Linked DNA regions of Drosophila melanogaster. Changing the gene in region 1 together with any one later gene gives a genetic interaction. Each region holds a gene or a part of one and is shown in the gene's direction. Other genes may lie near its edges.

Evidence for each region.
Region 2: of ast (region 1) and Egfr, changing one enhances a phenotype caused by changing the other (phenotypic enhancement), as found in Drosophila melanogaster (2 studies listed by BioGRID).
Region 3: of ast (region 1) and net, changing one suppresses a phenotype caused by changing the other (phenotypic suppression), as found in Drosophila melanogaster (one study listed by BioGRID).
Region 4: of ast (region 1) and px, changing one suppresses a phenotype caused by changing the other (phenotypic suppression), as found in Drosophila melanogaster (one study listed by BioGRID).

What each region holds. Positions count from the first base shown.
Region 1 is NT_033779.5:1,076,017-1,081,320, forward strand, and holds ast (asteroid), read left to right. Parts: upstream 1-1,931; 5' UTR 1,932-2,018; coding exon 2,019-2,552; intron 2,553-2,608; coding exon 2,609-3,049; intron 3,050-3,104; coding exon 3,105-4,694; 3' UTR 4,695-4,787; downstream 4,788-5,304. Other genes in the region: Atg4a (Autophagy-related 4a), read left to right, coding at 5,228-5,304. UniProt on the Drosophila melanogaster protein: May function in EGF receptor signaling. May play a role in compound eye morphogenesis.
Region 2 is NT_033778.4:21,544,703-21,549,658, forward strand, and holds the start of Egfr (epidermal growth factor receptor), read left to right. Parts: upstream 1-1,940; 5' UTR 1,941-2,888; coding exon 2,889-3,189; intron 3,190-4,956. UniProt on the Drosophila melanogaster protein: Receptor tyrosine kinase, binding ligands of the EGF family and activating several signaling cascades to convert extracellular cues into appropriate cellular responses. Known ligands include spitz, gurken, vein and giant-lens.
Region 3 is NT_033779.5:81,904-89,172, reverse strand, and holds net (net), read left to right. Parts: upstream 1-1,785; 5' UTR 1,786-2,080; coding exon 2,081-2,153; intron 2,154-4,895; coding exon 4,896-5,905; 3' UTR 5,906-6,752; downstream 6,753-7,269.
Region 4 is NT_033778.4:22,559,063-22,563,702, reverse strand, and holds the start of px (plexus), read left to right. Parts: upstream 1-1,637; 5' UTR 1,638-1,784; exon of another isoform or gene 1,785-1,804; intron 1,805-2,560; 5' UTR 2,561-2,957; intron 2,958-4,640. Other genes in the region: CG11362 (uncharacterized protein), read right to left, coding at 914-1,209, 1,270-1,309.

The sequences.
Region 1 (5,304 bases):
AGAGGTATCAACTGGTCGAACCGCTATGAACTTCACTTCCTCCCCGGATTACCAGTAAAAATCGTTAAAATCGCAGTCGCAACAGCTGTAGGAAAACTATAAACCACATTGGGAAATGCGTTTGGGATGGGGTGAATATGGATGGCTACGCCTTTTGCGGCTCTCTAAGCCCTGGGATGAACTTTTGTGCTCGATTTCCAGTTGCCAAAAAGCGCCGGAAATTGCTGGCAACTGTCGGTGGTCGCCAGATCGTCGGCATATATGCAATGTCTGCAGCAAAGCCCCCTTTTTCATATGGAAAATGAACCTGATTCTCGAGCACAGCGGCGAAAATTACATAATCGCCGGGCAAATGGGAGCACAGTCATATCGAAATTGTGCCAAATTGCAACTGCAGATGATAATAACGATAATTTATTTCTCCCCCAGTGAGATGTTTCTATTATACGAGCAATTTTCTGGAATCAGCGGGTGCCTAATTTCGCCCGATTTTCTCTGTTTCAGCAGCCAGGGAAAACATTTCAATTCTTCTATTTTTTCTGGTTTTTTCGGCCCACCAACAGAGGTTTTCTCTAGTTTATCGGCTTTCCCGAGGGTTTTTCCTCTTTCCGCTACCTGCGAATACCTGCCCCGAAAAAAAGAGGCGTGGGAATCGCCGAACATACAGGAGGTGCAGAGTTGGGAAATCGGAAAAAATTGCAATTGCAGGACGTGTGAAAATGTGCGGAAGACAGGAAACGTGGGCCAAGACCACTCGCAGATTTCCCGGAACGGCCTTGGCCAATGGGAAAGGGATTTTTCCCTGATTTTGAACTCACCTTTTTCGGCAAAGAGGGAAGTTATATATGTTTCGTATCCGTAAAACGAAGCTCCCAAGACACCAGAAGAACTCTGCACACACGCACTTGCTTTTGAACCGTCTTTTTTTTTCAACTCTAGGACGAATTATCGCACGGTTGATTTACGTTTTTTGCTGGTTTGGCTTAACAATTTCCTTTTGGAACATTTATTTGCACACAATTATTTATTAAATGCCGCACACACACACACAGGTGATTGGTGATCGATGATGGGCCGTGTGTGGTTGTGTTGTTTACGTACGTGTGTGTGTGCGTAGAGCACGCCTCGCACACACTGACAAAAATTCATTCACGACACGGTGATCACGATCGTCGCTCTCGCTCGCTCACTCATGGTGTTTTTGTGTGGAAAATCCAAGAGAAAAATAATACTATGTGAAGCGCAGACGAAAGACGCACAAAGCTGAGTTATTAACGTGTGTTATTGTTGTTGTTGTTTCTCGTTGCTACTGGATGTTTTCTGCTGCTGTCGCCTTGTATTTACTTAATTTCATATGCATATTTCGCCCATGGTTTTCTTTTTTCCGCTGCTTTTCCTTCTACCTGTGCTTTAGTTAAACGAACACACAAAAACAACACACACGCACGCACACCACACTCCGCGCACACACACACGCACGCACGAAACGAGAGACGCAAAGGTAAAGTGGTAAAGTGTGTGCAAGAAAAGCGACAAGAAACGGAACGGAACCAACGGAACCCGTATATATGCACGCGCTCTTCGATTCAATGGCGATTTCGGTTTCCACTGCACTCGCTGTGTTTGTGCTAGTACATTTCCCAGTTTCCTTTAGATTTTCGGTACAAGTGTTGCTATTGCTGGCGAATTTTTCTCCTGGCCACCGCGTAGCACTCGCGACGTTACGATTTTTCGACGTTTGATGCGCGGGTGGAGAGCAGACAAGCGTCGGGTTGGAATTGTCGGGACAGAGTGTGACCGCGGCGCCATCCCCGGAATATACCATCCGGCTGCGGGAAATACCCTAGATACCAAACTAATCGCTCATATATACCAAACGGCAGCGAACGGCCACGCTAAAGAATCGATATGTACATCGATAGTATCGCACTGCAAACTGACATCACTATTAGCACGCTTTTAAAGTTTGTGCAAAATAGGTAAATAGAAAATTGGGAAAATAGGCAAGCGCCGGGAAAATGGGAGTCCGCGGCCTGACCAGTTACATAGCGCAGCGCGCGGAGATCTACCTTAAGCCGCACGAGCTGCACTCCACGGCGCTGGTCATCGATGGCGACAACTTGAGCTGCAATCTGTACAAGGATGTCACCGGGAGCTACTCCGCCTTCGGCGGCGACTACGACGACTTCTACCGCGCCGTGGTGCAGTTCTTCCAGGTTCTGGCCGAGTGCAACATTCGGCCCTATGTGCTCATGGACGGCGGGTACGAGGAGCGCAAGCTGAGGACCGTTAGCACCCGGCTGCGCAACAAGATTTCCGTGATCAAGAAGATAAACCCCAATGCATCCATCACGCTGTTCCCGCTGCACCTCAAGGAGGTTTTCGTGGACGCTGTGCGCGACTGCGGAGTCCCGGTGATGAGGTGCGTCTTTGAGGCGGACGACGAGTTGGCTGCTCTGGCCAGGAAACTTAACTGCCCAGTGCTCTCCTACGACTCGGATTTCTACATCCACAACGTCAAGTACATCCCGCTGATCACGCTGACTGTTAAGGTAAGGCATAAGTTATTTGGATTCCAGCATATACTAAGCGATTCCATGTACCCCAGGTTCTCACCAAGCAGGTGAAGGACAAGAACAGCAGCAACCAGAAGGACAGTCGAGATCTACGTCACTGCGAGGCCAAGAATGTGAAGAAGCGCACCAGGGCCAACAAGATTGTGACTGGCATTCAAACCACAGGGCTGACAGCCAGTACAAAAGGCAGTTCCAAGACCTACAAGTACCTCGACTGCTGCATCTACCGGGTGTCCCATCTCTGCGGACGAGGAACTCTGAGTCCCGAGAAGCTACCCCTTTTTGCCGCCCTCCTGGGCAATGACTATATTGCCCGCAGTGCCTTCAAGAACTTTTTTGCTGCGGGAATGGGCAAAGCAGGACGAAGTCGCAAACTAAAGCTCCAGCAGAAGCGCATACAGGTCATCCTCACATGGCTGAAGGAGGAAACGGCGGAATCTGCTCTGGCTAAAGTGCTGTCGAGACTGAAAAAGGTTCGTTGCTTGAGATATCTTTTTCCGATTTATGCTAAAAATAATATTCTTGCAGAACCAGCGTGATTCCCTGGTCTCCCAAGTGAATGCAGCCATCTCTGGTTACTCCAACGAGTTGTGCCACGCCTACGATTACTTCGATGAGCACTACGAGAATGCTTTTCCTTATATAGAACCCGTCAGTGAAGAGGAATGCAGCGACGATGAACATTCGTCTAGCTCCGATGAAAAATTTTCAGATGTCGAAGAAGGCGAGGATCAGGAGGAAGCTGATAACCAAGATGAGGAGCAGCAGGAAGAAAATCAAGACGTTGATTCGGGTGATGAAGAAGAAGAGGAGGCGGATGAAGGCCTCGAGCTGGAAGTGGAAGACAAAACGCTACTCTTCCCACAATGGTTTCTGGACAAACTATATCCCGCGCACCTGCCCCGCAGCTTCGTGGACCTTATGCACCTGCGCAAGTACATCAACAACCCACAGATCGAGCACTTTCCCTTCCACGACTCCAATGAAGTGGCCTTACCCATCCTGAACTACGTGTTCGCTCTTCTCCATCACGTAGAGTGTGAGAAAATTGAGCTACCATTAGAAGTGGATATGGATATAGAGGGTTCGACAGTCCCCTATCTCACCTACCTCACCAGAGCTCTGCGAGTGACGAACGTGAGGTATTTCAAGATGCCCATTGAAAAGAAGCCTGCCTATCCGTTTGATCCTCTTTCGCCGGATGCTAGGCATTTAAGAGCTGTATTCGAAGACAATGCTCCCAATGCGGATACGGAGAAGTTGTTCAGCAAGCTCGACCAGTTGCCGGAGGACCTGAGGCTGTACTTTCTGGCCATTATCTACTGGTTACATCGCTCGGAGCACTGTGATTTGCTGCATCTTCACTCGCTGATCCTTAGTTTGGTTGTCCTACGAACCATAGATGTTACAATCCCTGCTGAACGAGAGGTGAAAACCTTCCTTAAAAGATTTGGCAAGACATTGAAAGCAGAGCGAGCAGTGAGGGATAAGGAAGCTGCCGAGGGAATTAAGCGCGGCATCAAACCTGCTCTGCTAGAGCTTTCTGTTCCAGATCGGATGGCTCATGTACCCAAATCGGACTGCTATTTAACTCAGGAACGCCTACTGCCGCACTTCCATATGCAGGAGATCTTCAAAAAGAAGTTTGACTTGTACTCCACCACGGTTATCCACGCATTTGCTGAATTTCAGGCTGTGGTTTACCAACTCAATGGGCTAAATTCTCTTTTGGATTTTCCACTTTTGAGTCCGAGGATGAACCAGCTTTATTGCGGCGCCTTTCTCTACAACATGTATGATGTACTGAGGAATCGTGCCGATGTCCGCTACCATGTTGAGAACTTCCTGCTGCCCGACTCCAAGTTGATGTTCGATTTCTATTGCTACTTGTACGACTGGTGCGCGGAGTTTATACCAACTTGGAAGCGATTGGAGGTGGATCCGACGGCGGCAAAGGCCCTGCAGAAGAAGCGATTGAAGAAGCAGCGTCAGGCGGCTAGGAAAGTGGAGCTAAGGGAGGCCATCGCGGATCCCAATGCGGAAATGGTCGAGGATGCCGATCCAGAAAACGACTTCTTCGATCTGAACAACAAATTCTGCGCACTCAAGGTAGCGTAGCTAGTTTGAAGTCCCGCACGTGCAATTTTGAAGTTTTTACATTGTTACAAATCTATACTTTGCGTAAAATAAGAAAAAAATTAAATATTTTTTAAAAAACTTCATTTTTGAATGCATTTCATTAACAGTTTGGAAAAATACTGTTATTTCCTATGTTATGGTCATGTTAAGTGCAAGGTTCGGTATTTTGGCAAAGTAAAATACCTTATCAGTTGCGGTCATACTAACAGCTACGTCACTGCGTTGTAATCAACAAAAAAGAAAAATAAATCAAACTAAACCAGCCGCAGACTGATCAAATGCTGGTTATCGCATAGTTTGTAATCAGCGCCCGTCACTGCCAACAACAAATGAAACCCCTGTGACCTCGGGCCAGAAGCAGGAGCATTGCCGTTGCTGCCAGCGAAAACACAGGCCAAAACAAAGGCCCACCCGAAAAACAGAACGTCATTCGAAGGCAATTATCGTATAGACGAGCAGCGGAGGCCCTGGTGTCCACCCCCTTCTCCTTCTGCCAGCGCACCGGGCAGTAGATGCTGGTTGGACTCAGCGACCAGCTAGCGCGGATCATGGAGAGCGTCTTCGAGGCGTACTTGGGCCCAGACAGCGT
Region 2 (4,956 bases), on another chromosome or scaffold:
AAAAACATTTCTCTTCGCATGGCATTTTGTACGCTTGATCAAATGTTTATGAGTGTGGGTCGGGGCATCTTGGAATCTCAGAATCTCGGCATCTTACACCTCTCGAGCGGCGTTTACCTGTGGTTCGTACTGGCGGAGTTGGTGGAGTGCCCTGAAGTGGTTTCAGAGTTCTGAGTTCTAAGATCGTTCTCAACTCGATGTTCGGCTGTCAGTTGCATGCTCTTCGATTTTGACAGATGATTCCGTACGGTTTGGGCAGTGTACCTTTTGATTGAGGTCTTCTGGCTTGGGACAGACGGCTATTAATATGTTTGATTATGGCTGCAGACCGGAGCATGGCGCTTTTACCCCATCGTGGAAATCTGTGGAAATGCTTTTCAATTTAAATGTATTTTCATGCTCTGAAACAAAGCGCCGAGCAAGACAATGCAACGCCTCTCGAGAGTCACAGCGTGGGATTCGAGATTCAAATGTGGACCGAGGAGTTAGTTGCGCTTTTCCAAGTGCACCTTTTGTATTTCTGTTATGGCAAAGTGAAAAAGGTCAAAACGCTTCGGATTTACCTGCCGAAACAGTGTCCTTTTGGCCCGATCCCGCAGAGCACATGGCGCAGGCGTAAAAACCCCGATTTCTTGTGGGCTGGGAACAGGTGAAGAAGAGGCCAACGAGATCTCGGTCTTGGATCTGCCCTAACAATGTTGACAACGCTCGTACAAAAATCTTTTTGCCAAAAGACAATCCATGGCCCACGCAGGCTCGGCTCACAGACACAGATGCAGATGCGGGCACAGTTACACACACAAACACACACAGATACAGATACAATTGCCGAGATCTTTTGTGCTTATATGGCAGCATTGCCCACACATACCCATGTATATACAGCCAGGTGAGAGAGCGGCGATCGCTTTACCTGAACGCTCTCAAATTCGCCGCAACAACAGAACCTCCAACAACAACAACAACAACAGCAGCAGTGTCAAGAAATTGGGATATACACAAGATCTTACCTGGGAACGACCTGCAATCGATGCGAATCTTAAATGCCCTGCACAGCTGTCGGAGTTAAGATGCTGTCGGATAATCCCCGCATTGGTTTTTTTGCTCTTGTCTTTGCTATTGGGCATTTTGGGGGGAGGGGAAAATCAGGACATTGTTGCTCAAGTACTTTCCTTTGTTGGAAAACTCGTCTCTGCAGTTGAAAAGGCTATTTATGGCGCCTTCTTAATCCTACCTAAACTTTGCTATCTTAAAACTGAGGTTGTTGCGTATAAATGCTTCTTAACTTTTTTAACATAAATCCCGTGTGTATATTATTTATACACGCCCTGTATATCGAGCAACATATTTTGTGCAAAAAGATTGTCCTTCTTTGGTATCCACTCTTCAAGCTTGGGATACTTAACCGCTCTGAGCCATGTACTCTATGTTAAGATTGTTAGTTGAAGTTATGTTCTGCGAACTTAAGATCTCTAGTTGGTGTTTCCGTTCATTTGAGATGGCGCTAAATTCGATTCTGTGCATTAGGGCCAACGTTTAGCATTTTCCCATGATATGTAGAGCATTTGCTGGTCTGGGGGAAGATTGCCCAATGTATCTGGCCGTATCGTTTCGTATTACGCTGACTTTTTAAAATGCTGCTGCTACGTTTACGATTACCTGTGGATTGTGGATGGAGATGGTCCGCTGGCGGTGCGAGTGGGAACGCTGCACTGAGCGAGCGAGAGGTGGCGACAGCGGTGCGCAGCTGTGCCGTAGTTGTTGCTGTATCGCTGGCTTTGCTTTTATTTTGACCTGATCTGAGCTCGAGATTTCGCCGTTCACCTTTATTTTTACCTGTGCGCGCTCTTTTCGCCGCAATCGAGAGTAAGAAACACGGCGAGAGAGTGAGAGAGAGAGACAGAGAGGGAGCAGCGCCTTTTGGCTGCGGCTTTGGCCTCAGTCTCGAATACAACTTGTTGCTGCGCGGACGCGAATCGCTCAGTACGGACGTCTTGAGCTCGAATCCTCGGCCATATCTGTGCTCTCGATCGCAGCGTTTGCTAATTCGAAGATCGTGCTAATCGAAGTACCGAGAAATCACAGTTCGCAAAACGACCAAAACCAAAGCCAAAAACGGGGTGTAAGCCAAGTGCCTTTGGCCTATACTATACTACTAAGCGTATTTTTGTGAATACCCTGCTAATTGGCAGCCGCGGCTGTGGCGGTTGTGGCTCAGTTCGAATGATGGCCAAGTGTGTGTGTTTTGTGCAAGTTAACCGCTGCGGGGGCAACACAACAATTGCTTAGGGCAATCAATTAAAGCTGAAAGCTAAGAGCTGCGCCTGCGCACGCCTCTCTAACCTCAAAAATCGTTGGCGAACTCAAAAAAGAAGCTGAAAAATACATCTGAAAAATAACAAAAATTTTATTTTTTACATACACTCATATATATATATATATATATATGAAAGCCTTCGGACGACTCTTGTGGCTCGTAATGTGAAACTGGTTCCTACACTCACGCACACACTCACTCACTGGCGCGTTCAAAAGACCCACTCGAAAACACACACTCACTCTCACGCGCATACACAGTGAAATGTAAACACCAATACAGTGGCAAATTGCAACGACAACAGCTTAAATTCAAAACAACAACAACAACAACAGCAACCGCAGCAAACGCAGTGAAAGAGTCGAAATCAAATTTATGAAAAGCTGTATTTTTGGCACGCAAAGCTGAGTGAGCAAAAAGCCGAAAGTAAACCGCAAGTTCAAGAAAAAGAAACGAATAAAAAATAACCCCTATGACGTCAGGGGTTATAGCTTGGAAGAGGGCTTGATTCATCCCACCAGTAACGCCCACAAAAAGCACCAACCACCAAACCACCCACCGCCCCGCAACAATGCTGCTGCGACGGCGCAACGGCCCCTGCCCCTTCCCCCTGCTGCTCCTGCTCCTGGCCCACTGCATTTGCATTTGGCCCGCGTCGGCGGCCCGCGATCGCTACGCCCGCCAGAACAATCGCCAGCGCCATCAGGATATAGATCGCGATCGGGATCGAGATCGATTCCTATACCGCAGCAGTTCGGCCCAAAATCGACAGAGGGGCGGGGCCAACTTCGCCCTGGGACTGGGAGCCAACGGAGTCACCATTCCCACCAGTCTGGAGGATAAGAACAAGAACGAGTTCGTCAAGGGGAAAAGTAAGTGCACCGCAAGGATCTATCCATCTTCCTCAAGCCGCCCATCATCTATCAAAATGTGTTTATGTAGATCATCTGGCTGACTGACTGGCTGCCCATATATCAAAAGAGCCAAGTCGTCCCGAATTTGGCCACCGTATCAGTTGGTCTCTAGAGTTTCCACCGTTTTCAGGTGTTTTTTTTTTTATTGTAGTTTCGTGCCAGCGATATGCTGTCGTTTATCTTATCGCTGTGATGTTTTTTTTTTATTTTTCCCCTGTACTGCACTTTAAATATAGCTTCGTTTTCGGCTGCATTTCGTATTATTTGGTCTTATCGTTACCCTGGGAATATCAATTATCGAGGGGTAGCTGCAAAGTGTGCAATATTACAAATATTTTACTAAGCTCATAGATTAAAAAACACTTGCAATAGTGTGTGAATTCGTAGTATTTTAAGTAATATAAGCTTACTTAACATTTATGTGTCTGGAATATGGACTTTGAATGATATTTCCCAATATCACGTATACGCCAGGGTATCCCCTAGTCCAGAGTGAATGCTCCCTCCATTTAATACCTGCCCTTCGCGACGGTCTCACCTGCCCTGTGGCTCACCTCTTGACTTGGCGCTGGCTTAGTCAAAGAGTCTTGTGTGCACTATCGCCCCTGTTTCGAGTTACCCCCACACCTAGCCATCAGATATCACGGCAAACATACCAGAATACCAGAACGCACTGATTAGCCAAGCACTGAGCACTGTGCTGTGCATTTCGTAATGTCAAATGTACAAGGTAAAGCGTAGTAGTTAGTTAGTGTTAAGACCGCCCGATTTTTCCACTCTGCCACTTTTCCCGCCGTCTGCGTGCCCTTTTCTGTGCATCAGCAGCAATTGCAATTGCAACAGCAAAAGCAACAGTAAGAGCAATAGGGCAACTGCAACTAGCGACACAATTTCCAGCTAAAATGGCGACTCAATTTGTTGACTCTGCAGTTCTCGAGGTTTTCTTTGTGGGCTCTTTGTTTCTTACCCGTTGGAAAATAAATTAATACACAAAATTTGGTATTCGCATATTGGAAGTTTTGGCTGCTTGGCTGGCTGGCTGTATGTTTGGGTAACCATTTGGCCACAATTTAATGAACTCCATGGCGTATCTGGCGGTGTCTGTTTGCACAGTACTTTGAGGCAAATGTTTGTATTCGGCGGGCAAACAGAAAAGTAAAAATTAAATGGGAGGCGAATAAAAGCGGGCCGTCGATACCAAGTACTCAGTGATCTTGTAGCTGCAAATTAATAACTGAATGTGCGCATTGTGCGCCAGCAACTGTGCAAATATTGATAGGAAAACGAAAACTTTGGCTACGCAGTCTATGCTAATGGGAGACGGGAGACCACCACCGCATAGCCGGATATGTGGATGTGGTATGTATGTATGTATGTATGGCTAGATAAGCGAGTTATGAAACCGATAAAGATGCCAGAACCTTAAAAAGCGATATTACCCTTTTTTTTCGCACAGACGATCGCTGCTGTCACAATGCCCTTTTCGCAGAAATTGTTCGAGTTATTTGCTCTGGCTTACTGTTTCGCTGTTTTCTTTATGACCATAAAAATAAGCACAGCTGCGGCATGTATGCAAATAAATGCTAGAGAAAAGCCTGCACGTGCATTCGAATCGAAACCGTTAAAAAAATCGTTGGGGGTAGGAAACTCGAACAACTGGCAATTGTTGTTGACGTCTTTATAGTTCAAAACGCTACACTCGCTGGCAAAAAATCACCTTTTAAT
Region 3 (7,269 bases), 990 kb from region 1:
CTTTTTCAGAAGCCAAATCAGTGTAACTCGATTTGTGCATGTTCGTCAACACCATGTTGTCCGCAAAATACTTCTTCTGACTTGATCTTTGGTGAAAAGCACATATCTACATATGTAGAAGCCAAACTGACTTCATGTACTTAGAGCCCGTCCTCATACAGAAGCCAAATCAGTAACCGCAACTTTACCTAATTTTAAAAAAAATCTTTGCAAATGATTCCGAAGTAATTCTAGCTGGGGCGTACGGAAAAAATGGTTTACTTTTAAAGGAACAGATCAAATTTCGCCGACACGTACACGAACCATTTTTGGAAGTCCAGCATTCTTATCCTTGAACTTCCAGCTTGACAAAGGCTTGATCGCGACCTAAACGGCGGTAGCGGAGGACTGCTCAGGTTGCTACACTGGAGATTGTGAAGTCTGGGGTCTGTCCAATCGAAGAAAACAGGTTAGGCCGCAGCCCAATCGCATACTTTAAAAGCAGAACAAGTCTCTAAAAAAACGAAAGTCATCATTCAAAAAGCATTTCGCGCGACAGACTCAAACTCGTGCCCAGTGTACATCTGCTAAGGATATCAGACAAAAAGACGAAAAGAACCCTAATGATATTAGGGAACTGGCTCTTGCATTCATTCCAGCGGCAAGTTTTTTGTTGTGCGGCGTTCGAAAGAATGATCAGCAAATTTAAACTTTTTCCTAGAACTGATCTTTTTTTTATCCAAAACGTAAGGAGGTATTCATCCTGACTTAAATAAATTTCCAAATACAAGCATATACATATATACATACATAAATATAAAAGAAGCCATGATAATCCAACTTACAAAATTATGACGAGTTCTGTTTAAAAAAATACATACGTATCAAATAAAATATTTGTAAACTATCTAAGAAACTGACCATTCTATGCCTAAAAATCGAACAGCTTGTGCAATACTAAAATTAAATGTTGACATTATTAAGACCGTTGCTTTTACTTTCTTCGCCAGTGCCATCCGCAGATGAAATACATACTAATACATATTTTATCACGTATGCACAAATGAAATTGACGCTGGTATATGCGTTGTGTCCAGCAGCAATGTTGCAAGAAGAATAAACTGTTTTAATAAAGTCCTGATTATGATAGAGGCTTTAACAGCCTTATAAGTCAAACTTTGCAAAATGGAGAGCAGCCGAAATTAATTAATCTTACCTAATTCAATGGCATTTAAGATCTTTTTCTGTCCAAAATATTGAATGTATATTCATCCCGATAAGTTTACAAAAAGTCAAAAGACATTTTGTCATTGAAACATAAGTAAGGCCGCAGAAAAGTAATACTTGCAATCAATAAGTTGAATACAAATTTTTTCTAGTCGCAAATCTCAAGCGAGCGAATATTTTCATTCATAAAACTAATAATGTGGTAGTCAAACATGTTCGACAGCGAACCGATCCAGCGGTTCGTACCACAGTGCTGGCAGGTCTTTCTGCCTAATATTTCTGGTGCCAATAAGTTCAGAGGCCTAGCAAACTTAGCTGTTCAAAATTTTGCTTTAAAGTATTTATATATTTCTTGTAAAGATAAATACTTTATTTCTTATTAAGCATATAATTTACTTATGGAAGAAATATATTTTCTGGCTAAGGGCGCAATTTTTTTCAAGCCATACACACATTAGGACAACGGACTCTAAAAAAACTGAATGGTCAACACTGATAACCAAACGCAGTTCGACCGCGTGCTGCTTTTAGCATGAAGCCAGCCGGTCCCTGGCGCAGGCCATTTCAATCCGCAAGATATTTTCAATCCGTCAGATACTTTCGTTGTGAACAGTCGTGCTCCGGTCAGAAGATTTTACGAGAAATCGTGAAAATAAAAAGTTCTAATAAGTTGAAGATAGTGCCAAAGCTCACATACGGCTTAACCAAACCACAAATTAAAAAAGTGCCTTTAAACAATACGTGACATTTCAATAGGTTTATGTTAACATAAAGCCCGTAATTGTGAATAAATAAAATATAAGCCCACAAAACTATTCAAATACCGTTTTCGGATACGCGCTACTTTTAAAGTTCTTGAATGTCCTTCGCGGCTATGGCGAATACCAACACAGAAAAACTTTACATGCAACTAAGCGCATCGGAATTATCAGCAATTATTATGAAAGGTGGGTATTTACCTTTTGCACGAGCAAAGGACACTGCACCTGTTGCCTGCGAATTGTGCGGCACCTGCAAATACTTACATAAATATACACACCTACATACATAGGTTTTTTATGTCTTGCAGTCGGATGATTATAATCATTTCCCGCAAAATATTTGTCGACAATAATTTGTCAAATAGCTGTATATTCATTTTTGTAATCGAAACCCAAAAAGAACGAATACAATCATTAAGGCAAGGAGGCTATGGCCCAAGGCTATGCAATAGACACTGAAGATAATTGACGACCAACATTGTTAATAGGGGGTGCTGCCGTGTGCACCCAGAAAGCCCCACCAACTAACACGTTGCAGCAGAATCATATTAGCAGCAGACTTGTGAGGATGGCAATTAAGATGCAGACAGATACGTAAATAAAGCCAACTATGTGTCGCCAGCGTACTCCAACTTTCGTCTTGTGTTGCATATGTCGGCCAAGCACTTTGCCCGCAATGGCGAATTTGGGACGACGATGTCGCCAGACATATTGGCAATTTGTCTGTTTGTGAAGCTGGAGCGACAGTTGGACTCTGCATTGTGTGTCCCTTTTCACCACCGCCTGCTGATTGTTATAATGTTCGAGGACAGACGTTAACTCCTTCCATATTGTTGGTACTGTTTACGTCAGCATTTCATAAAATCGATTTTATTTTTTGTTTCTGTGATCATTTATTTAAAATGCTAGTCTTAATCAGCAACGTTTCGAAATGATTAGTCTAGATGGCCATTGGTTTGGATAGAATAAGGTGTCTTTAATTTAAATTGATCACTATGAGTTTATAAAAATTCCACTTATATTATTTTACTACATAACGCAATGTAGTAACAGGAAAGCCGAATGATATTGGGTTCGTTTTATAACCAACGTAAAAATGTCCTTACCAAGTGTGTCAAAGTACTGCATGATCTGGATGTGTTCTTACGATTCATTCATAAAAGTGATGCGTCATTTTACTACAATATATTTCATATAGTCGCTATAACATATTTACATTTATGTACGTATGAGTATATGCACTTGTTATGATAAGACGAGGCTTCCCACACAGGGAACGCTTCCCAGTGGACCGACCGCCAGCCAAAAGCCGCCTATGATGATAACCTTTCGTTGACTTTTGGCGTGAATATGGGATTTTCTTATGCCTCTGACAGTTAATGTCTGCCGTTTTTAAGTAGGTTTTAGCTGATTTTCGCAGGAGGGCATTCATTCTTAGAAAAAAAGGCCAATAACGGGAAAACCGTTGTCAATTTCTGAGCAAAACTTGCTATTTTGTACTTGGCACCTAAAGACGGATCAGATCCATAAAAAATAAACTAATTTGGGCGTACAAAAAACATCTTAAAATATTCTTAATATAAACAATCGAGAATAATACCTTCTTCCGTGTATACTAAAAATAAAATAAAATGTGCAGGTATTGCCCTTTGGTCGTTAGATGTAACTTTAAGTGTCTGATACGGACAACTTAAATATAAATTGGTAGAAATTTATTTTTTAAAAACTTGGCAAGCTTTAAAAATGTTTCCGTTTGGCACAGGTGTTTTAAACTAGACGACGCCTGCGAGGACGGTGGCTTAAAAGTAAACATTTGTCTAAATATAAATTAAAATGCGGTATATAAACCACGCAAGACATGGGATAGAGTTAGGGCTATAAAACTGATGTTATTTGTACAGCCTGATTTCGTGGCCGCAATGTCAGTCAGTTGCTTTGAATTTCGTTTCGTTGTTTATCTGCCTAAAATTAGAAAAGATAGCAGAATATTGTGCTTATAAATAGTTGAATAAACATGCAAAAAGCTTACCTTCCGTAAATGTGTGTCCGCACCGGTTCAAACAAACAGGGAATAAATTTACTCATTCTTAGCCAACTTAGCTTAAGTAATTAATTTAAAATTAATAACAAGTAATTATTGTATGTATGATTGCTGACAAACATATACATATATATAATGGATAGGCTGATAACACAATAATTGATTACAAAAAAAATTAGCTGTTGAAGACAAAGTTTTTTTTTGCTTAAATACCGGAATACTTATAAATATCCTAGCAGATTCTATACCTTTATACTTTGCTGGCACAACCAAAGTTGAAATCGCAAACAAATTCGATCCATGTATGTATGCTCGTTTATATGCATTGTGATTTTTTTTTAAATTGCTAACCGGGTTGTTGGCTTCTGATGCAGTGGCTGCTTCATGCTGAACTTGAACTGGCTTTATTCGCCAGACTTGAAATAAATTACTTTTAACAAGTAAGCTGCGTTTCGGCACTTCAATACTTGTGGAGGTCAGTGGTAAATTAAGAAACCTGTTTTGTTTTCGTGATCAATGCATAATTTCACTTTATATAATGGACTTTCTTCTCATGTAACCTCCGATTTGAATGTATTAAATAGATTTCATAGGGTGGAAGAACATATTATAGATAAGAAAATACGTCAAAACTACGTCATCCAATTAGTTTCGATCAGATGGTAATAAAAAATAGTAACTAAAGATTTGGGATTTATTGAATTTTGAAAAGTCGAAGGGGTGTCACACAAAGGCAGTCGCAGCCCTATTCGGCTTGCTGGCCTGTTCCGCGAAAACGGGGGTTTTTTTAAATTTACGAATACGAAATGCCAAACATTAGTAACCGGTTCGGCGTAATACGTCACAGATAGAAGATAACTAACTCTTAAATTTTTTGGTATTTTTAGATTCACCCAATTCCAACGACCGTGATGCGGGTTTTTGTTCCGCCAGTTCGGAAAGCGAAGGCGGAGACGACTTGGTCGTCGAGCACGCGCGCAGTGGCAGTCCCGACATCAGACCAAAAGGAACAGACTCGGCGGACTCCAAGCCAATAGCCCTTGTCCGCAACAAACGCAAGAGTTCGGAACCCTTCAAAGTCGTAGGTTTGACGACTCCCAACTCTAAATCCATGCCTGGTCCTCCGTCCAGTGCGAGTATGAATGCAACTGGTCCGCTAAAGAAACGCATACGATACACATCTTCCGCCGATTCGGCAGTTGTCCTAACGCCACCAGCCATAGACTCTCCACCGCCCAACAGTTGCATACCTTCCACGTTGCGCCTGCAGCATGAAATAATGCCTAATCCGGCACATATATATGTTCGCCATCCGGGAGTTACGACTCTTCACAGATCGCTTGCTGCCCACCCAGAACAGCTGGAACCACTCGCATTAGTAACGACCAAAAAGCAATGTGTCGACCAAGCGGGGCCTAAAATAGAGGCCTTTTCCGCATTGCTAATTGGAAAACAGCCATCCGCCAAAAAAACGTTGAAGGAAAGGACGCAAAAAGAATCAACGTCATCTTCCTTTTTAGAAGCTAGTCTTAGCGATGAGGATCTGAACAAGACGGGATTGGCACCAATTTCGCGACCTCATCAACATCAACGCAATTACAAGAATATGACTAGGGAGCGCCGCATTGAGGCGAACGCACGTGAACGGACCCGTGTACACACCATATCCGCCGCCTACGAAACGCTCCGCCAAGCTGTTCCAGCCTATGCCAGCACTCAAAAACTTTCCAAACTCTCCGTTCTTCGGGTAGCGTGTTCCTATATACTAACCTTAAGTAGAATGGCTGGCGAGGATTACAGCGCCGATCAATCCGTACCGTCCATTGCCACGTGCTTAGAAGCTGTAACATCAACCATCCAAACGGAGGGAAAAGTGAAACGAAAGAAAGACGAGTAATCTGTCCAGTTTCGTGGATAACTTACTTTTTTAGACTTTAAATGCGACTGATTTCTGCTATTTTTTTAAATATTTGTGCTTAAGCTTAGATTAATCTGCATACAGCATTCCTATCCACATGCTTTGATTCTTTGCCAGAAGTGGCCTAATAGCTTTAAAAGTTTTCAAGGCTTTGTTAGATATACAGACTTCATGAGTTTAAAAAAAAAATTTTTAAGTATGCCTGCATACAATTTGTATTTGATATTGACATTGTTATGAATAAATACTAGCGATGTGATCATAATTTAATCTCTACCTACAGAAACATTTTAGTCAGTACAAAAAGTCAACGCCATCTATGTACGAGTGTATAAAAAGACAATAATCGGCATCCTTAAAACCTATGTAAATGACAATAATGTAAACTATATATTTACCTAAAAAAGTTTCAGTTTCTTGTTTCAAACAGGATTTTTATATCAATTTACAAGTTTTTAAAAGAAGCTTTGCCAAAATGTTGTAATTTCACCATCAACTTTAGTTACCTTAGGACTGAATATGAAAATGTATATTTTTTTACATGTACCTCTATAATAAGATCAATTCTTCTTTTACGAATTGCATACAACAGAGATAATCAGTAGTAATTAAAAATCCGTAGTTACGAAATTAAATAAAGAATTTAACAAATTTCAGTTTATGTAAGTAACTGTAGACGTTTCCTCTTCAATTGTAATCTCATTGTTTTGTATACATTGATATATTTGTACCCATGTATACATTCATAAGTGTACGTGCCATAGAATCAGGAAATACACAAAACTTACTATAAAGAGAATGTATTTTTATATAGAGTTGGGATTTCAGGTGGTCGCGGTTAAAATATTAGTCATCTGGGTGCAAGCGCACTAAAGGAAACCATATAGAAATGACGGCTTTAAGGGTTATTTTATGTCTGTACGTTAAACAATCTTATCGTTTGCAACAAGCTATTTCGTGATATTAAAAACTCAACAGGTGCGCAAAGAACGGCACGCTATCGATTTAAGTACACCTGAACGCATCCACGTTATCGTAACGAGTTTTGGCAAAACTTAGTCCCCTTATCAGGTTCGGAAATATATTTGTCAGCTTATCTAGCAGGCACAAAGTTTACCAATATCACAGTAAGTTGACAGTGCATTAGAACTCATGACGTACTCTGAAAGAACTCAACACTATTAACTATGCATATTATTAACAAAGTAACTGCATCTAGTTGACCCAGTGCAATATCCAGAACAAATTACATCAGCTAAGAATCCTATAGAAAACAGGTTAAAAACAGCAATTTCCGATCAGTACATATATAATGACTTGAGCATTGGCGTTATTCAACAAAG
Region 4 (4,640 bases), on another chromosome or scaffold:
CTCGTCTAAGACTTCACTGCATAGCCTATGCCTAGAATCTATAACTGCAGATTGTTTCATATTCATATACACACTGTATACTGTATACACATAGATATATTTACGATCGTTATAGATCAGCGATACCTTATACGATGTAGCCCTTGAATGTACAACATAGTTACTTACTAAATGTTAGCAATTTTACCAACTAAAACTCGAGATGTATTTATTAACGCCTAAACTCTTTAGTATTCCACCCTACCCAAAGGAACCTATATAAGAAGCCCCCCAAATTCTCATATATCTAACCATGGATACCTATTAAAAAACTATATGTTATAGCGTGTGTATATATAGGACAAGCGTACAATAATCGCAAACCCAAGGAGCAAAGTAGTACTAAGTACCTGCAAATCAAACAGAAAAACATAAACCGAAACTGAAACAGAACACGAAACACGAAAAGTATCTCTGCAGCGGATATTACATAGTCAATAGTAAATGTTAACAATGTTATACTATATATACATAGATCTATATATATATATAAATATATATATATATATATATACATATAAAAGAAACCAATGAAAAAACCTTAAATGTACCTTGTTATCTGTTGTTTATTATTTGGAAAGCAAATCTTCGTTTCTTGCCGTCTTTAGTTGAAAGCTTTCTGTGGCATATTTCTTTGTTCTTCCTTAACGAATTCTTCTATCATTTATCAGTTTTAATACTTCATTTCTTTTCTCCTTTGGCCTCGTTGCAAAACTGAATTCGAAATAAATGCTCTTGACCAAAAAATCTCATCAAGTTCCTCTCATTTGAAATCATCAAAACCTCATCGTCTTCTCCTTTCATTTTCTTATTTATGAGCGCGTTGGAATTCTTCTCACAGCTGGAAAATATATCAAAAAAGAACATACTACGCCTATGTAATGAGTCCAATGAATCTGCCAAAGGTCTCGATAAGAAACCGCATCATCTGCAAATTATCCATTTCTGGACTCAGCTTGAAGTACTGAGTAATCTTCGGTTTTCTCTTTCCCGGGATATCCCTGTCCACATTTGTAATGAGATGTTTTAAGTAATGCGGAATACTCTGAAGACCAAAGGGAATATTTTCGTTTTGCAGCAGGAACTCTTCGGTTTTCATAGTAACAGAATTATTTGGCACTGCCATTTTCACACTTATTTCGTTGGGAATAGCTGTTCCGAGTGTGATTCCTAAGCCGGCAGGGAAAATTCATTAGTAGAATTTATTTTATACATATGTTAATTGCTTACCCAAGAAAAAGTGCAGAATAAAAATCACTATTGAGTTCATTTTCAGACCTAATTATTTCTGTTACAATGTTCTGATTTTGGGTTGAGTTGTGACGCAAAGTATACTATTTGAAAACTTTACTTCGACGCTTAATTCGAACAATAGATTATTATAGATTCAAAGTTTATTTAAATTGAAATCTTTAAATCCCGTTATGTTACATTTTTGAATTGCGCGCCCAAATCTTCCACGAACGCGTTAGCACATAACTCAATTTGAGCCGCTTGTGAGCAACAGCTGATCCACTGCTCTTCTTCTTACACTCCAGACAATCGCAGCACGAAATCCAGCGATGTGGCAACACCGCCGGCCAGGTGGCAATTCTGCTGCGCAGTGTGCACACACTGGCAGCCACTGCTGGTTGGCTCTTCTTCTTGCAACTGCTGCAATTATATATCGCTGTTCCGTCGTCTCCGCCGATCCAACTCCGCGCAAAAAACCGCACATATATCGCTCAACGGTCCGCGAATAATCCGTAAATATTGCAATTGCACGGTGGGCACAAAAAACACGACAAAATAAAAGGCCCAACACAAAACAAACGGAAACTCACACGGACACACGCACACACACGCAGGCGAGCAGCTGACGCCGGCAGAGGCAGTGCAGCAGCAGCGACAGCGGCAGAGCAGCGACGGCAGCAACAAGCAACAAAAGCAAAAGGCAAACAATTGGATAAGCGCTATTAAGGTGTTAAAAAGGCAGCCAACTTAACAGTCCAAGAGTTCAGCTTGAAAAGCTAACGGTTCCAAGGTCGCAGCGCGAAAAAATCGAAAAAAAACACTCGCTTTTTAGCCGTCTTGTTGTTGTTTTGGCTGCTGCAACAGTTGCAGCCTATGCGTATGTGTGTGTGTGTGTGTTGTGTGGAATTGTGCGATCGCCATCGTCCGTTTCTCTCGCACTTGCTGCTAATAGTCGCCGGTGAAATGGTGTCGCCTTTCGCAGCCGACGTCGACGTCGCTGCCGACGACGGCGCAGAGACCACCACTGTGGCAATGAAACGCAATTTGTTGTTCTTGTTTCTGTAAAAATGTTTACAATGCGATCAAAATGCACTGGCAGAAATTAAGAGTGATAAGCATCAAATTTAGCCCATTAAAATTTGAAATTGTTAAAAGCGATGTGATAAAGTTTATAAACACAACTATAAGTTTGAAACACATAAGAATAAAATAAAATCTAACTTGCGCGAAATTCATTTTCTTATTTTAAACCTGTAATAGTGACCGAAAATTTTGAAATTCTTTCTAGATTGTTCAGCCACAACTGAAACATAAAATCGAAACCCTATTTTTACCAGCTTAACATGGGTAAAGTGAAACTTATAAGAAAACCATGAAGAATACCGTGAATGCTCAATTCAAAATTTGAAAATCCACTAGTGCTCTTAATAGCTTCAAAAGCAAGTGAAGAAATTTAGAATAAAGAGTGTGATAACCGAAAGAAACACCGAGAAACGCCGAGGAAAGTCTAGACAAGTGCCTGAAACCAAATGTGTTTGCCCCGAAGTTAAGTCCCTTCGATCCGCCCAAATCGGCTTTAATTCCCGTAAATCCCCTCTTCCGCCCAATAATTCCGCCACAAAAACAGGCACATGAGTTGGATTAATCGGAGTCAACTGGAATAGGCCGAAGCACCCGGAGCACAGGTCAGTATCGGAACAATCAGGCCATATCGACTGACATCAATCAGTTAAAACATTCAAATACCGTTTGCTCAATTGGACGGTTCGCCTTGAATCGGTTGAAACCGGTTGCCGATTACCGGTTCGCTTTAAAATTCAATTAATTTAAATCAATTCAGACCAGACAGTTTGGTTTCGTGTGGTTTCCATCACAAATATCCGCCGCGACCTAACTATTTCTAAAAAAATGCAATAAAAGATTGCACAATTCCTAGCAATCGAGGAATTTCAAGTGCTGTACAGCAAATCTGAATGATACTGATATTGACGCTTTTTAAGTGAAGGCATGACGAAAGTAAGACGTTTTTTACGGCATTTACAAAATGCTACTCAAAATATTAGGTTTTGATACGGAAAATCTCAATAGAATCTACCTTACATCATATGTAGATAAAATTTAAAAGTCTTTAATAATTTATGAGATTTTAAATACAAATGCTGAAGTTTGCCATCGAACGTAATTGCAGAATCCTAAGATATTATCATTGACAACTTATTGGGCTGCAAAGATAATATATAAAATATATATTCAATTATTATATTTGTCCAACTGATGGAATTAAATAATCATTAAAATGGTAATTTAATGAGGCGCTTTTGCAGAAAACAAAAGCAAACCGCATGGCGAATAAAACAAAAATCGAAATAAAAGCGATGATTTATGCAATATTCAAATATGCATTTCGCACAGGCACTCACACACACACACACACACACACATACATACAGATAGCATTTGGCTTGAACTTTAAAGAGCGACTACGGTTATTAATTTAACCTTTTTATTTGGCTTCACTTGGTTTAATTTGTGTCCAGCAGGTCCCAAAAACCTGAATGCGCTGATGGCCAGCTCCGCAAATCCCTGAGCCCCTCTTAGCTGTCCGGTTTTTTTTATTTTTTTATTTTTTGGGCGCCCTTAATGGAAAAAATGTTGAGCGGTCTTTTTGCGATTCTCCTCTCGGCTTAATCCCATTTTTGAATACCCTAGCAATAGGGCTTATAACTTCGTTAAAATGGTGAAATACTCTAAATAAAAACATAAAACATATATGAACTTATTTGATTTCAAACTCCAAATGTTGCATGCTTTTAAGCATTTTAAAACCATTCGGTTTTTTGATCTCCATAAGATGTTCCTTATTCCTTGTATATTTCGATTCATCGCACATCCATAGATGATTGATACTGTGCGTATCCGATAGGGTATTCTTAATTCCGATTCGTACATATACCATTTTATACTCGTTCCCCATTGTTTTTGCGTCTGTTTACGTTGAACTGGGGGCCACTGAAATGGAATCGAGGAGAAGGGTGCCCAAAAGGAAAACGACGTCCTGCCATAAAATTGCATGTCCAAGTTGTTTTATTTGATTATGCGATCGTGTGTGTGTGTGTGTGTGTGTGTGTGTGTGTGTGTGGATTTTTGTTGCTGTGCTCGTTTTTTTTTTTTTTTTTGCTGCAAGAGTTTATTGCGCGGAATGCTATTTAATAAATTCCATTTTCTCTGTCATTTTGCCGTGTTTTTGTTTTTGCATCTCGGGCAGGATTTATGTTCTTGCTTTTGTTAGCGCTGTTTCCGCTTTCCATCTTGTTTGTTTGCCCGATGCAAATTTAAAAAATTCAATTTCCCTGGTAACTCCAATTGCG